Macaca mulatta: one gene and its partner. The protein of the gene in region 2 interacts with the protein of the main gene of each other region in a pairwise test. Links are inferred from orthologs where the notes say so. Each region holds a gene or a part of one and is shown on either strand. Other genes may lie near its edges.

Evidence for each region. The genes of interacting proteins can lie anywhere in the genome.
Region 1: the proteins of SGTA (region 2) and TFRC interact in binary tests that used the Homo sapiens proteins (3 or more experiments, as listed by UniProt). The two-hybrid records come from large-scale screens. The link is inferred for Macaca mulatta from reciprocal best matches to the Homo sapiens genes SGTA and TFRC.

Annotation. Positions count from the first base shown.
Region 1 is NC_133407.1:1,620,184-1,626,354, reverse strand, and holds the start of TFRC (transferrin receptor protein 1), read left to right. Parts: upstream 1-2,450; 5' UTR 2,451-2,507; intron 2,508-6,171. UniProt on the Homo sapiens protein: Cellular uptake of iron occurs via receptor-mediated endocytosis of ligand-occupied transferrin receptor into specialized endosomes. Endosomal acidification leads to iron release.
Region 2 is NC_133424.1:3,530,393-3,535,878, reverse strand, and holds part of SGTA (small glutamine-rich tetratricopeptide repeat-containing protein alpha), read left to right. Parts: intron 1-229; coding exon 230-334; intron 335-1,331; coding exon 1,332-1,470; intron 1,471-2,385; coding exon 2,386-2,448; intron 2,449-4,572; coding exon 4,573-4,610; intron 4,611-5,486. UniProt on the Homo sapiens protein: Co-chaperone that binds misfolded and hydrophobic patches-containing client proteins in the cytosol. Mediates their targeting to the endoplasmic reticulum but also regulates their sorting to the proteasome when targeting fails.

The sequences.
Region 1 (6,171 bases), on a different chromosome or scaffold from region 2:
TAATACGAATAACAGCATAAAAATAAAAATATAATTGACAGCCCCTTTAGTGTCATGTTTATGGTTTTATTTCAGCAAATATAAATTTTTCAGATTTGGATTTTCATGTCCAAATGGTCCTGGCCTCTAAATGTCTCCTAAGCATATTTTTCTTTTCTTTTCTTTTCTTTTGAGACAGAGTCTTGCTCTGTTGCCCCGGCTGGAGGACAGTGGTGCGATCTCAGCTTACTGCAACCTCCCCTTCCCGGGTTCAAATGATTCTCCTGCCTCAGCCTCTGGAGTAGCTGGGACCACAGGTGTGCACCACCAAGCCAGGCTAATTTTTGTATTTTTGGTTGTGATGGGGTTTTATGTTGGCCAGGCCGGTCTTGAACTCCTGACGTCAGGTGATCCACCTGCCTCGGTCTCCCAAAGTGTTGGGATTACAGGGATTAGCCATCTCATATGTCCACCTAAACCTACGTCCTCCATGAGGGTATAAGATCTTCACCGGCAAATACCAGCATAGTTTGTTTCTTTTTAAAAGATACTTCAGTCAAGGAAAGGCAGAAGGCCAGGCACAGTAGCTCATGCCTGTAATCCCAGCACTTTGGGAGGCCGGAGGCAGGAGGACTGTTTGAGCCCAGGAGTTCAAGACCAGTCTGGGCTACATAGCAAACTGCGTCAAATAAAAAATAAAAAATAAATAGGCTGGGCACGGTGGCTCATGCCTGTTATCCCAACACTTTGGGAGGCCAAGGTGGGCAGATCACCTGAGGTCAGGAATTCGAGACAAGCCTGGCCAACATGATAAAACCCCATCACTACTCAAAGTACAAAAAGTAGCCGGGCGTGGTGGTGCACACCTGTAGTCCCAGCTACTTGGGAGGCCGAGGCAGGAGAATTGCTTGAATCCGGAGGCAGAGGTTGCAGTGAGCCCGAGATCATGCCACTGTACTCCAGCCTGAGTGACAGGGCAAGACACTTTCTTAAAAATAATAATAACACAAATATATAAAATTAATAATTAAAAAAATAAAGAAAGAAGAGCAGAGGGGAGCAGGCCTGGTATCTGAATATTAAGGTAGGCCTTCTGTGGAAGTCCGTCCTTAACCTTTTCCTGAGTAGATCATTTAAGGTGCAGCAATGCTCCTGCTCAAATTACTTTTTTTTTTTTAAATTTGAGACGGAATCTTGCTGTTACCCAGGCTGGAGTGCAATGGTGCGATCTCGGCTCACTGCAACCTCCACTTCTTGGGTTCAAGGGATTCTTCTGCCTCAGCCTTGTGAGTAGCTGCGATTACAGGCGCGCGCCATTACACCCGGCTAATTTTTTTAAAATTTTTTTTTAGTAGAGATGGGGTTTCACCATGTTGGTCAGGCTGGGCTGGAACTCCAGATCTCGTGATCCACCCACCTCGGCCTCCCAAAGTGCTGGGATTAGGGCGTGAGCCACCGCGCCCGGCAACTCAATGACTTTTAAACACTTCTCTCTGGGGAGAGAGATTGCAGAGAATGGGAGTAAAGAGAAAGGCGGTGAGATAATCCCAAGTACTTTATCTTAGAGCAGAAAAAATAAAGGGAAAAGTAAAAGCCCAAGGCCGAGAAACAGATTTGCTTCTTAAAGGGCTGTTCTGTGTCCCTAAGGGCGCTGAAGGTCAGTTTATGTGCAATGCTTTTAAGGTCTGGGTTGGTTTCTTGCATTGTAGCTACTACCTCCCTGGCCTGCAGTTTACTGACCAGAGGGAGGGAGAGGGTGTGATTGTTTGGAAAGAGTTTAAACGGTGATAAGAATTGAATTTTGTTATGCCCTGCACAATCCAGTAACAGCAATAATGGCAATGAAAACGAAAGTTAATCTACAATCCTATCACCCGATTGTTTCTATTTTCCCTTTTATTCCCTCATGCATTAAACATTATGCAAAGCACTCCGCTACTCTTGGTTACAGTGCAGCTTGTATATATTCTGAACAAAAATTTGCATTTTGCTTTTCTTTTCCTTTTTGAATTTCTGAGGCTGCAAAATACATCTTCACAAGAGCGGCTTTAATGGTTACCTAACATTCCATCCTGCACATACATTTTAAGGAACTGCTGCAGTGCAAGTATCCAACATTTGAGCGTCAACGCCAACAGATTTGACCTTGCACTGCAGGGACTGGAGGTCGGTCAAGGTCAGGCGGAGGCTGCCAGGCTGCCAGGGTGGAGGAAGGCGCCGAGGCAGAGGCCAGCGCGCCCATCGCGCGGCTCCTCGGGGCACCTGCTGCCTTGGCGCCTTTTCCCTCTGCCTTCGCCTCGCCCGCAGCGCCCTCCGCGGAGGGCCCCGCCCGGTGCGCGCGCATCCCCGCCCCCAGGCGATCTGTCAGAGCACCTCGCCGAGCGTACGTGCCTCAGGAAGTGACGCAAGGCCCCGGGGGGCCGGGGGCGGGGCCAGGCTATAAACCGCCGGTTCGGGGCCGCCATCCCCTCAGAGCGTCGTGATATCGGGTGGCGGCTGAGGCGGCGCGGGACGGAGGACGCGCTAGTGTGAGTGACTGCGGGCTTCTAGAACGACGCCGACCCTCGTGGCCTCCCTTCGTCTTGCGGGGCTTGCTGGAGCGGCCGCTCCGCTGCTGTCCAGCAGCCACAGGGGACCGCGCGGGGAGCGGGAAGGCGGCCGCGGCCCCAGGCGGGGCGGCCGGGATGGAGCGGGGCCGCGAGCCTGTGGGGAAGGGGCTGTGGCGGCACCTCGAGCGGGGTCGGGCGGCTGTGCGGAGAGGCGTCCCTTCTCCTCTCGTCCCTTCTCCTCTCGTCCCTTCTCCTCTCGTCCCTTCGCCTCTCGTCCCTTCTCCTCTCGTCCCTTCGCCTCTCGTCCCTTCGCCTCTCGTCCCTTCGCCTCTCGTCCCTTCGCCTCTCGTCCCTTCTTGCCCGCCGCCTCAGTCACAGAGCGACGAATGGCTTCTCTTACTGCTCGGAGGACGAGAGCAGGTGTACCCCACGTCGCTCAGCCCCGCGGACTTCGGGTCCTCGCCCTTGCAGGCTGCAGGCCCTCGTGCGCGGGCTCCGGGCTGCGGGTCCGGGAGCGCGGGCGCAGTCCCGGTGCAGCTGCGCGGCGTGCGGCGTCGGGGAACACGTGGCTGCTCCAGGAAGTCGCCCCGGGGAATGGCTGGGATCCGTGGGTGACCTTGGGCTTGTAAACCTTCGCTTCCCCGGGCTCCGGGCCGGCCCCGCTCTCACTGCGGAAGGGGACAGAGCTGTCCCCGATTCGGTTACCTGGCGTGTTACAGGCATTAATTAGATACGGGCTTCTGTAAACTGACCCTTCGGCTCTGGTACCAGCTGGTCTCGCCACGCTCTGCCTGTTCGCCGTGTGTGGATTCTATTTTCTCAAGGCAGAATCCGGCGGAACGCCGCAGGTGTTGACATTAAGAATATTGCTAGCAGTTCTCACGACAAGACGGGAGCCATGGGAGTCTTATTGGTGAAAGACACTTGGAGATTAGCGGTGTGGTCAGAGGGCTGCGCTGTGTTGATGGGCGCCCGAGAGGCCGTTGTGTCACATTCTGCTGGACAGTTCTTTAAGGTTGGGAGGGTGGGTAAGAAAATACATTCTGATTCGGCTTTTTTCGGTTAACGCTTTCCCTCTGCTCACTGCTTGTAGAGACTTGGGTACGTCACTTATCCGGGGACTGGATTCTGCAGCTTTTTCCATTTTCTTCCCCGTTGATAAGAGGATTGAAGTAGGAAATTGTATTTGGCCACCCCATACTTGTATGCTAAGCTTACTGTGAAAATTAAGGTTAAGCTCTCTAGAGTGTTTGTGGACCCTGCTGGTCCCCCCACCCCCCGCCCTCAATTTTGGGTTACAGTATGCTTCTCAAGAAAATCCAGAGTTAAGATAATTTTTGTCATCGATATTGCAAGGTTATATAGAGCACGGCATCCTTCAATTTCCTTTGGATGTTCTTATCAAGTAATGGTGGCTGTAAACCTAGCCTGTGTTGAAGGTCGTTGGATACACAGCAGTTTGGCTAACTGTGCCCTCAGGCGAGGCAGTTACTTGCCTCTGATAATGTATTTACATGTCATGGAGCAAGGTTCCCAGCCAAACCTGAATTGGATCACAATCCAATTTATGTTAAAACTGATTCTTGGTTGGGTGCCGTGGCTCACTCACACCTGTAATCCCAGCACTTTGGGAGGCTGAGGCAGGCGGATCACCTAAGGTCAGGAGTTCGAGACCAGGCTGACTAACATGGTGAAAGCCTGCCTCTGCTAAAAATACAAAAATTAGCAGGGCATGGTGGCTCATGCCTGTAATCCCAGCACTTTGGGAGGCCAAGGCAGGCAGATCGCTTGAGGTGAGGAGTTCGAGACCAGCCTGGCCAACATGGGGAAAGCCCATCTCTACTAAAAATACAAAAATTAGCTGGGTGTGGTGGTGCACACCTGTAATCCCAGCCACTCAGGAGGCAGAAGCTTGAGAATCACTTTAACCTGGAAGTCAGAGGTTGTAGTGAGCTGAGATGGCACCACTGCACTCCAGCCTGGGCCACAGAACGAGATGCCATCTCAAAAACAAAAAAAGAACCTCCCTACTAAACCAGAAGAGTGGCTGGGATGGGAAAAGATTACTGGTCCAATGTTTTCATTATATTTTTCATATCATTTGGAATCTCATACATCAAGCATGCCCCAGTACTGTTAAATACAATATTTTTACTCATTATCAGGTCGTTCAATACCAGTTATTACAGGATAGGGAAGTCAGTCAGAGAAGGCTTCATAGAGATGGCCCTTGAGCTGAGCCTGGAAGAAATGAGGACCTCAAGGAACAGAGAAGAATGTTAGTGGGTAAAAAGATGGGCTGGATTCTGTCAGATTTTGGAGAAAATAGAGGGTAGTGAAGTGGTTAGGCAGTGAATGTGTTCCATTTCATAGTTCAAAATGTGGGGCTACGTTTTGCCTACCTGAACTTCATTATTAATGTGAAAAATTGAATTGTTGTTTTCAGTCACCATTGAGAACACCAAAGATACACAAGTAGCTTAGATTATTTATTTATTTATTTTTGACGGAGTTTCACGCTTGTTGCCCAGGCTAGAATGCAATGGCGCGATCTCTCCGCAACCTCCACCTCCCCTGGGTTCAAGTGATTCTCCCGCCTCAGCCTCCCCAGTAGCTGGGATTACAGGCATTCGCCACCACGCCCAGCTAATTTTGTATTTTTTTTAGTAGAGATGGAGTTTCTCCATGTTGGTCAGGCTAGTCTCAAACTCCCGACCTCAGGTGATCTGCTCGCCTCGGCCTCCCAAAGTGTTGCTGGGATTACAGGTGTGAGCCACCATGCCCGGCCATCGCTTTGTGTTCTTAAAATTAATTTAAAACTAGAAAACTTGAGGAATTATGGTTCAGATGAGTGTCAAACCTTGCAAGATGTTTTTTCCTGGAAAAGGATGATTAAAATTGGTTCAGGGTGGGGCCTTCCAGGTCTGCTCTAGTGATTGGGTCCTTACTGCTCTGGTGGTGGCAGTGATAAGCTTTTTGTAACAGAAGGGGCAAAAGATTGTGCTTCTGGCCAGGCGCAGTGGCTCACGCCTTGGGATGTTCTTGTCAAGTAACTAATCTTAGTACTTTGAGAAGCCAGGTGGGTGGATCACCTTAGGTCCAGACCACCCTGGCCAACATGGTGAAATCCTGTCTCTTAAAAATACAAAAATTAGCCGGGCATGGTGGCAGGCGCCTGTAATCCCAGGTACTCGGGGTCTGAGGTGGGAAAATCGCTTGAACCCAGGAGTTGGAGGTTGCAGTGAGCCGAGATCATGCTGTTGCACTCCTGCCTCAGCAACAAGACTGAAACTCTGTCTCAAAAAAAAAGATTATGCTTCTAAGAATATGACCCATTGCATATGGACGCTGGTCTTTAAAGCTTGGATTTAAAAATAAGTTTTTTTGTAATGGGTTTTAGAACTTTTTTTCTTTTTTTTTGAGATGGAGTCTCACTGTCCCCCAGGCTGGAGTGCAGTGGCGCCATCTTGGCTTACCACAACCTCTGCCTCCCGGGTTCAAGCGATTCTCCTGCCTCAGCCTCCCCAGTAGCTGGGATTACAGGTGCCCATCAGCCCGCCCAGCTAATTTTTGTGCTTTTAGTAGAGATGGGGGTTTTACCACCTTGGCCAGGCTGGTCTCTAACTCCTGACTTCGTGATCCA
Region 2 (5,486 bases):
CAGAGTCGCAGTCCCAAGTGGCTGTTGGTGCCTTGAGCGCGCATCTGTCTAAGAGCATCTCAGTGGCTGCACCTCTCAGCTTTCGCCGTCAGCCCTATTTTACAGAGGGGGAACCTGAGGCCGTTCCTCCAGGAAGCGGAAGAGGAACGCAGCTCTCAGGCTCCCCTCCAGGGCTGCCTGCTGGGCTCAGAGCCGCCAGTGAGGGACCTGCCCTGCCTTTCTTCCCCAGAGCTGCTGCCTACAGCAAACTCGGCAACTATGCAGGCGCGGTGCAGGACTGTGAGCGGGCCATCTGCATCGACCCCGCCTACAGCAAGGCCTACGGCAGGATGGGGTGAGTGCCTGTCGCATGTTTCCAGTCTCTCGGGGCTCCTCCTCTCCTGCTCCTGCTTCCTCTCTTGTGTGGCTTTTTCCCCCACCCACAACCGATTCTCCCCCCACAGTTCAGTTCAGCTCTGACACTAGCCGTTCGGAGCCAACGTAGCCCCTACAGGTCGCAGGCTCAGCCCCACAGACGCCCTGCATCACGTGCCACTCGGAGATCCCCGGGCCCCTTGCTTCTCCCGACTGGCTGTCCACTGGGGTTCCCGTGGCCCCTACTCGGGCTCCATTGTTTGCTGGGGCGGCTCACAGAGCTCAGGGAAGCACCTGGTTTATGATGAAGGACACAGGAGGGGTCTGAGGGCGAGGCCAGGAGGGTCCCCGGGGCAGGAGCCTGTGCCCCGTGCCGCTGGTGCCACCCTCCCAGCATGAGAAGCAGTTCATTCGCCTGCTTCTGTGAACGCCCTTGCTTAAAGTTCGTGGGACTGGGTCTCCCCGGAGGCTGGGGAGGATCCTGTTCACCTGCCCAGTCTCCCCAGGACCTGCCTCCTTCTGGGCTCTCTAGGGGCCCCAAGTCATCTCAGTAGTGAAGACTCAGGTGGGAGTCAGGGGCTGCTTGTGGACGACAGGAGACACGTCTGTCACTGAGTTCCCAGGGTCCTCGATGCCCTGTGCCAGAAAGCGGGGCCAAGACCACATCCACGCGTTTCCTGTGACCCTGAGCCGGCCCGCTCCCTCCTCTCAGCCCGCTCTGGGCTTTGAGGCCTCGTGTGCGGCCCCATGGGGACGCCAGTTCTTGTGCGGCAGCGGTGTTCTCATGTCTGTCTCCCTTGGTCCCGCCCCTGGGCCCCTAGAAAGCCAGGTTTGTCTCCAGCCAGCTGACAGTGGGCAGGGGGTGCCGCCATCCGAGGCGGTTTGGGGATTGCTGGGACCACTGGGGACGAGGGCTTGGGCAGGGCCTCCTGGAGCTGGGCAGACGGGAACAGGCCATCCCTGGTGCTCTCCTCCAGCCTGGCGCTCTCCAGCCTGAACAAGCACGTGGAGGCCGTGGCCTACTACAAGAAGGCCCTGGAGCTGGACCCTGACAACGAGACGTACAAGTCCAACCTCAAGATAGCGGAGCTGAAGCTGCGGGAGGCCCCCAGCCCCGTGAGTGCCGCGGGGCGAGCGGCTCCAGAACGCGGAGCGGAGCTGACTGTGCGGGTCAGGGACAGGGCCTCGGGCACACCAGCGGCTCTCGGCCTAACCTGGGTGTCGTGACGGTCCGGGGTTTGTTTCGGTCGATGGTGAGATGCACAGGCATGGAAGTGACCGTCATGAGGAGGAGGTTCATGCCCCAGACCCCTGGAACCAGTAGGCGGCTGCAGGCCTGCGCGGGGAGGCAGAGGGAGGGCACAGACAGGACGCTCCATGTGGGTTTTGCGGCGGGGCCGGGTGAGGAGGCTTAGGGTGGGAGGGTTGGAGCCATCTCATTAGACCAGGCCTGAGGGCTGCCACTGGTTGCCTGATTCCTGGCCTGGGGGTGAGTGGGGCAGGTGGATCGTGGCCCTGGGGTGATGGGGCAGGTGCTGAGGGTGTGGGTTCCGGGTTGGTTTGTATTTCAAAGGTGTGTTTCGGGGTGAGTCATTTGCTGTCTCTGGGAATTGGCTACTCCAGGAGGGGGCGGCTCTGCCAGGCCAGCAAGGCCCCAAGGTGTCAAAGTGGCAGAATACAGGAAATAAACACAGGATAATAGACTGTGTTTTTGTGGCCTGTGGAGTTGTGCGGGAGATAAACACGGGATGAGAGACTGTGTCCCCCGGGCGGTCAGGCTGTGCGGGAGATAAACACGGGATGAGAGACTGTGTCCCCGGGCGTCGGGCTGTGCGGGGGATAAACACAGGATAGAATGTTCCTCCCTGGGCGGTTGGGCTGTGCTTCGTGCTGCCTGCCTCAAAGCACCCGCCGGCCGCAGTTTGATAGAATGTCTGAGCCTGTGGGGGGCGTTGTTTCTGGGTTCCAGGGAGCTTATTCAACGTGGCCTCTGGTCCAGGCCGCACTAACCAGGGCTGTTCTCATCCTCAGACGGGAGGCGTGGGCAGCTTCGACATCGCCGGGCTGCTGAACAACCCCGGCTTCATGAGCATGGTAAGGGCCCGCCCCTCCTCCCTGTCCATGGTACCTGTGCCACGCCCCAGGCCTGCATCTTCTGTGTCACCGCTCCTGGCCAGGGCTTTCTTGCCTCGGCACTGCTGGCATCTGGGACCAGATGGTTCCTGTCTGTGGGGCCATCCCAGGCACCGCGGGGCGCTGGCAGCGTCCCTGGCCTCACCCACCCCATGTCAGGAGCACCCCCACCCTCAGCTTTGACGATCAAAGGTGTCCCCGATGTTAATGTCCCAAGCAAGACGCACCAGTAGTGAGCACCGAAAACTGCGTCCTGGCTCTCCTGGCTGAATAGCCCGGGGAGATCGCACCCCCGCCCCACCCCGGCGTGGGCTGCCGCTCGCAGTGCAGAGACACTGATTACAACACAGCCGTGTCTGCCTGCAAGGGAAGCAGACATGGTTCAGGCAAGGGAAGCAGAGCGCCGGGCGCCCTGGGCACAGGTGTACCTCCCGATGCCCAGGCACTCGTTCTTCCAGAGGGGCAGACTTTGGCAGGGGGTTCCTTGACTGAGATCCTTGGAGAGCCACCCACCCACACACGCATGTTCATTCCCTGGGAGGTCTGTGTGCCCTGGGACCACTCTGCAGGCTCCCACGGCCTCAGGGTGCAGGGACTTGCCTAAGGCTGTTAGGGGGGAGAAAAGCCCTCAGCCTCACTGGCCGTCAGAAAAATGCCCCAGCCGCGCCAGGGGCCCTGCCTGGGCCGTGCCATTCAGCAGAGGCCGCACCTCTTACTGTAACCCTCGGCCTCTGGCCAGGCTGCCAGGGGAACGCATGCTCCCTCATCATGGGATGGAGGGTGAGTGGGCCCCAGCCCTCCACGGGGCCTCTCAGCCTGGCCATGGCACAGACTCCTTTTCCCTTTAGACATCTGAGGTTGGCAGAATAAGGCCCGCAGCTGGGTTTTGTTAATAAAGTTTTTTTTTTTTTTTGAGATGGAGTCTCACTCTGTTGCGTCTCCCAGGTTCAAGTGATTCTCCTGCCTCACCCTCCTGAGTAGCTGGGATTACAGGTGCCCACCACCACGCCCAGCTAATTTTGGTGTTTTTTAGTAGAAATGGGTTTCACCATGTTAGCCAGGCTGGTCTCGAACTCCTGACCTTGTGATCCACCTGCCTCGGCTCCCCAAAGTGCTGGGATTACAGGTGTGAGCCACTGTGCCTAACCGATAAAGTTTTACTGACACACAGCCGTGCCCATTCATGCTTCTAGTGTCAGTGGTGGCTTTTACGATACAGTGGCAGAGCTGAGTAGTTGGGTCAGGCACCCCAAGTCTGGAAAGGCTAAGAGTATTTACACACTGGCCCTTTACACAGCGAGTTTGCCACACCTCTGAGCCACCTGTTTTCAACAGGTCCAAAGGAATAATCCCAAGTGGAAAGTTAACGTGAGAAAGTGCCCAGTACAGTGCTATTTATTTATTTATTTATTTTTACTTCTTTTTTGAGACAGAGTCTTGCTCTGTCACCCAGGCTGGAATGCAGTGGTACGATCTCGGCTCACTGCAAGCTCCGCCTCCCTGCAAGCTCCGCCTCCCAGGTTCAGCCAATTTTCCTGCCTCAGCCCCCCTAGTAGCTGGGATTACAGGTGCGCACCACCACACCCGGCTAATTTCGTATTTTTAGTAGAGACGGGGTTTCACCATATTGGTTAGGCTGGTCTCGAACTCCTGACCTCAAGCGATCTGCCTGCCTCGGCCTCCCAAAGTGCTGGGATTCCAGACGTGAGCCCCCGTGCTCGGCCACAGTGCTATTGATTGATAGAGCAAAACTGGAACCAAATCTGCTAAACCAAATCTGCTAAAGTAGACACAGCAGCTAAAATAACCAAACGCATCCACACGGTGAAACCGTGCAGCCAGTGAGAGAACGCTGCTAAAGCAGGAACCCGAAACAGGATTTAAGTCACAATGTGGAGGTCACAGCTCGTGGGTGGGGGGACGAGAATGTAGGGAAAAGGGTACGAAAGACCAAATGCCCGGCTCTTACTGTTCGCTGGCGTGCTGGCGCCCGGGGTCAAGGCTGGTGAAGAGGGAAAGTGTCTGATGAAAGAGAGCGATGTGCCTGGAGCTTTGTCTTCCTGACAAATTTGTTCTGTTCTTCAGGCTTCAAACCTAATGAACAACCCCCAGATTCAGCAGCTGTAAGTGACAACCGGGCTCCTCCACGTCGTCTTGTGGTTACGTTTCCTTCTATTGTGGGAAAATGCACCTGACATAAAACTAGCCCCTTTAAAGTACACAGCTTCATGGTGTTACGTACATTCACACTGCCAGGCAGCTGTCACCACCATTGAGCACCAGCACGTCTTCATCACCTCCGAAAGAAGCCCCTTCCCCATCACCTGTCACTCCCCAACCCCTCTCCCATCCCCTGACAGCCACACATCCCCTTCCCGTCTCTGTGGCTGGGCCTGTCCTGGACATTTCATAGAAACAGGGTCACACACTGCGTGGTCTTTTGTGTCTGACGTCTCTCACTGAGCGTGACGTCCTCAAGGTGCATCTGTGCTGAGGCCTGGGTCAGGGCCTCGCTCCTTTTCGTGGCTGAGTAATATTCCAGTGCGGATGGACCACGCTGTGCTGATCCACACGTCTATCCGTGGACATTGGGGCTGTTTCTGCCTTTTGTCTGTTGTGAACGGTGCTGCTTGAGCATGGGTATGCAAGCATCTGTGGGAATCCTGTTCATTTCTCTTGTGTATAAACCTCTGAGTGCAGTTGCTGGCTCATGTGGTAACTCCCCAGTGAACTCTGTGCTTATTGGGGAACTGCTCGCCTGTTTTCATGGTGAAATCTTTTTTTTTTTTTTGAAACGGAGTCTCACTCTGTCACCCAGGTTTGAGTGCAGTGGCACAATCTTGGCTCATTGCAACCTCTGCCTCCTGGGATCAAGTGGGTCTCCTGTCTCAGCTTCCCAAGTAGCTGGAATTACAGGCACCCGCCACCACGCCTGGCTAATTTTTGCATTTTTAGTAGAGATGGGGGTTTCACCACGTTGGCCAGGCTGGTCTTGAACT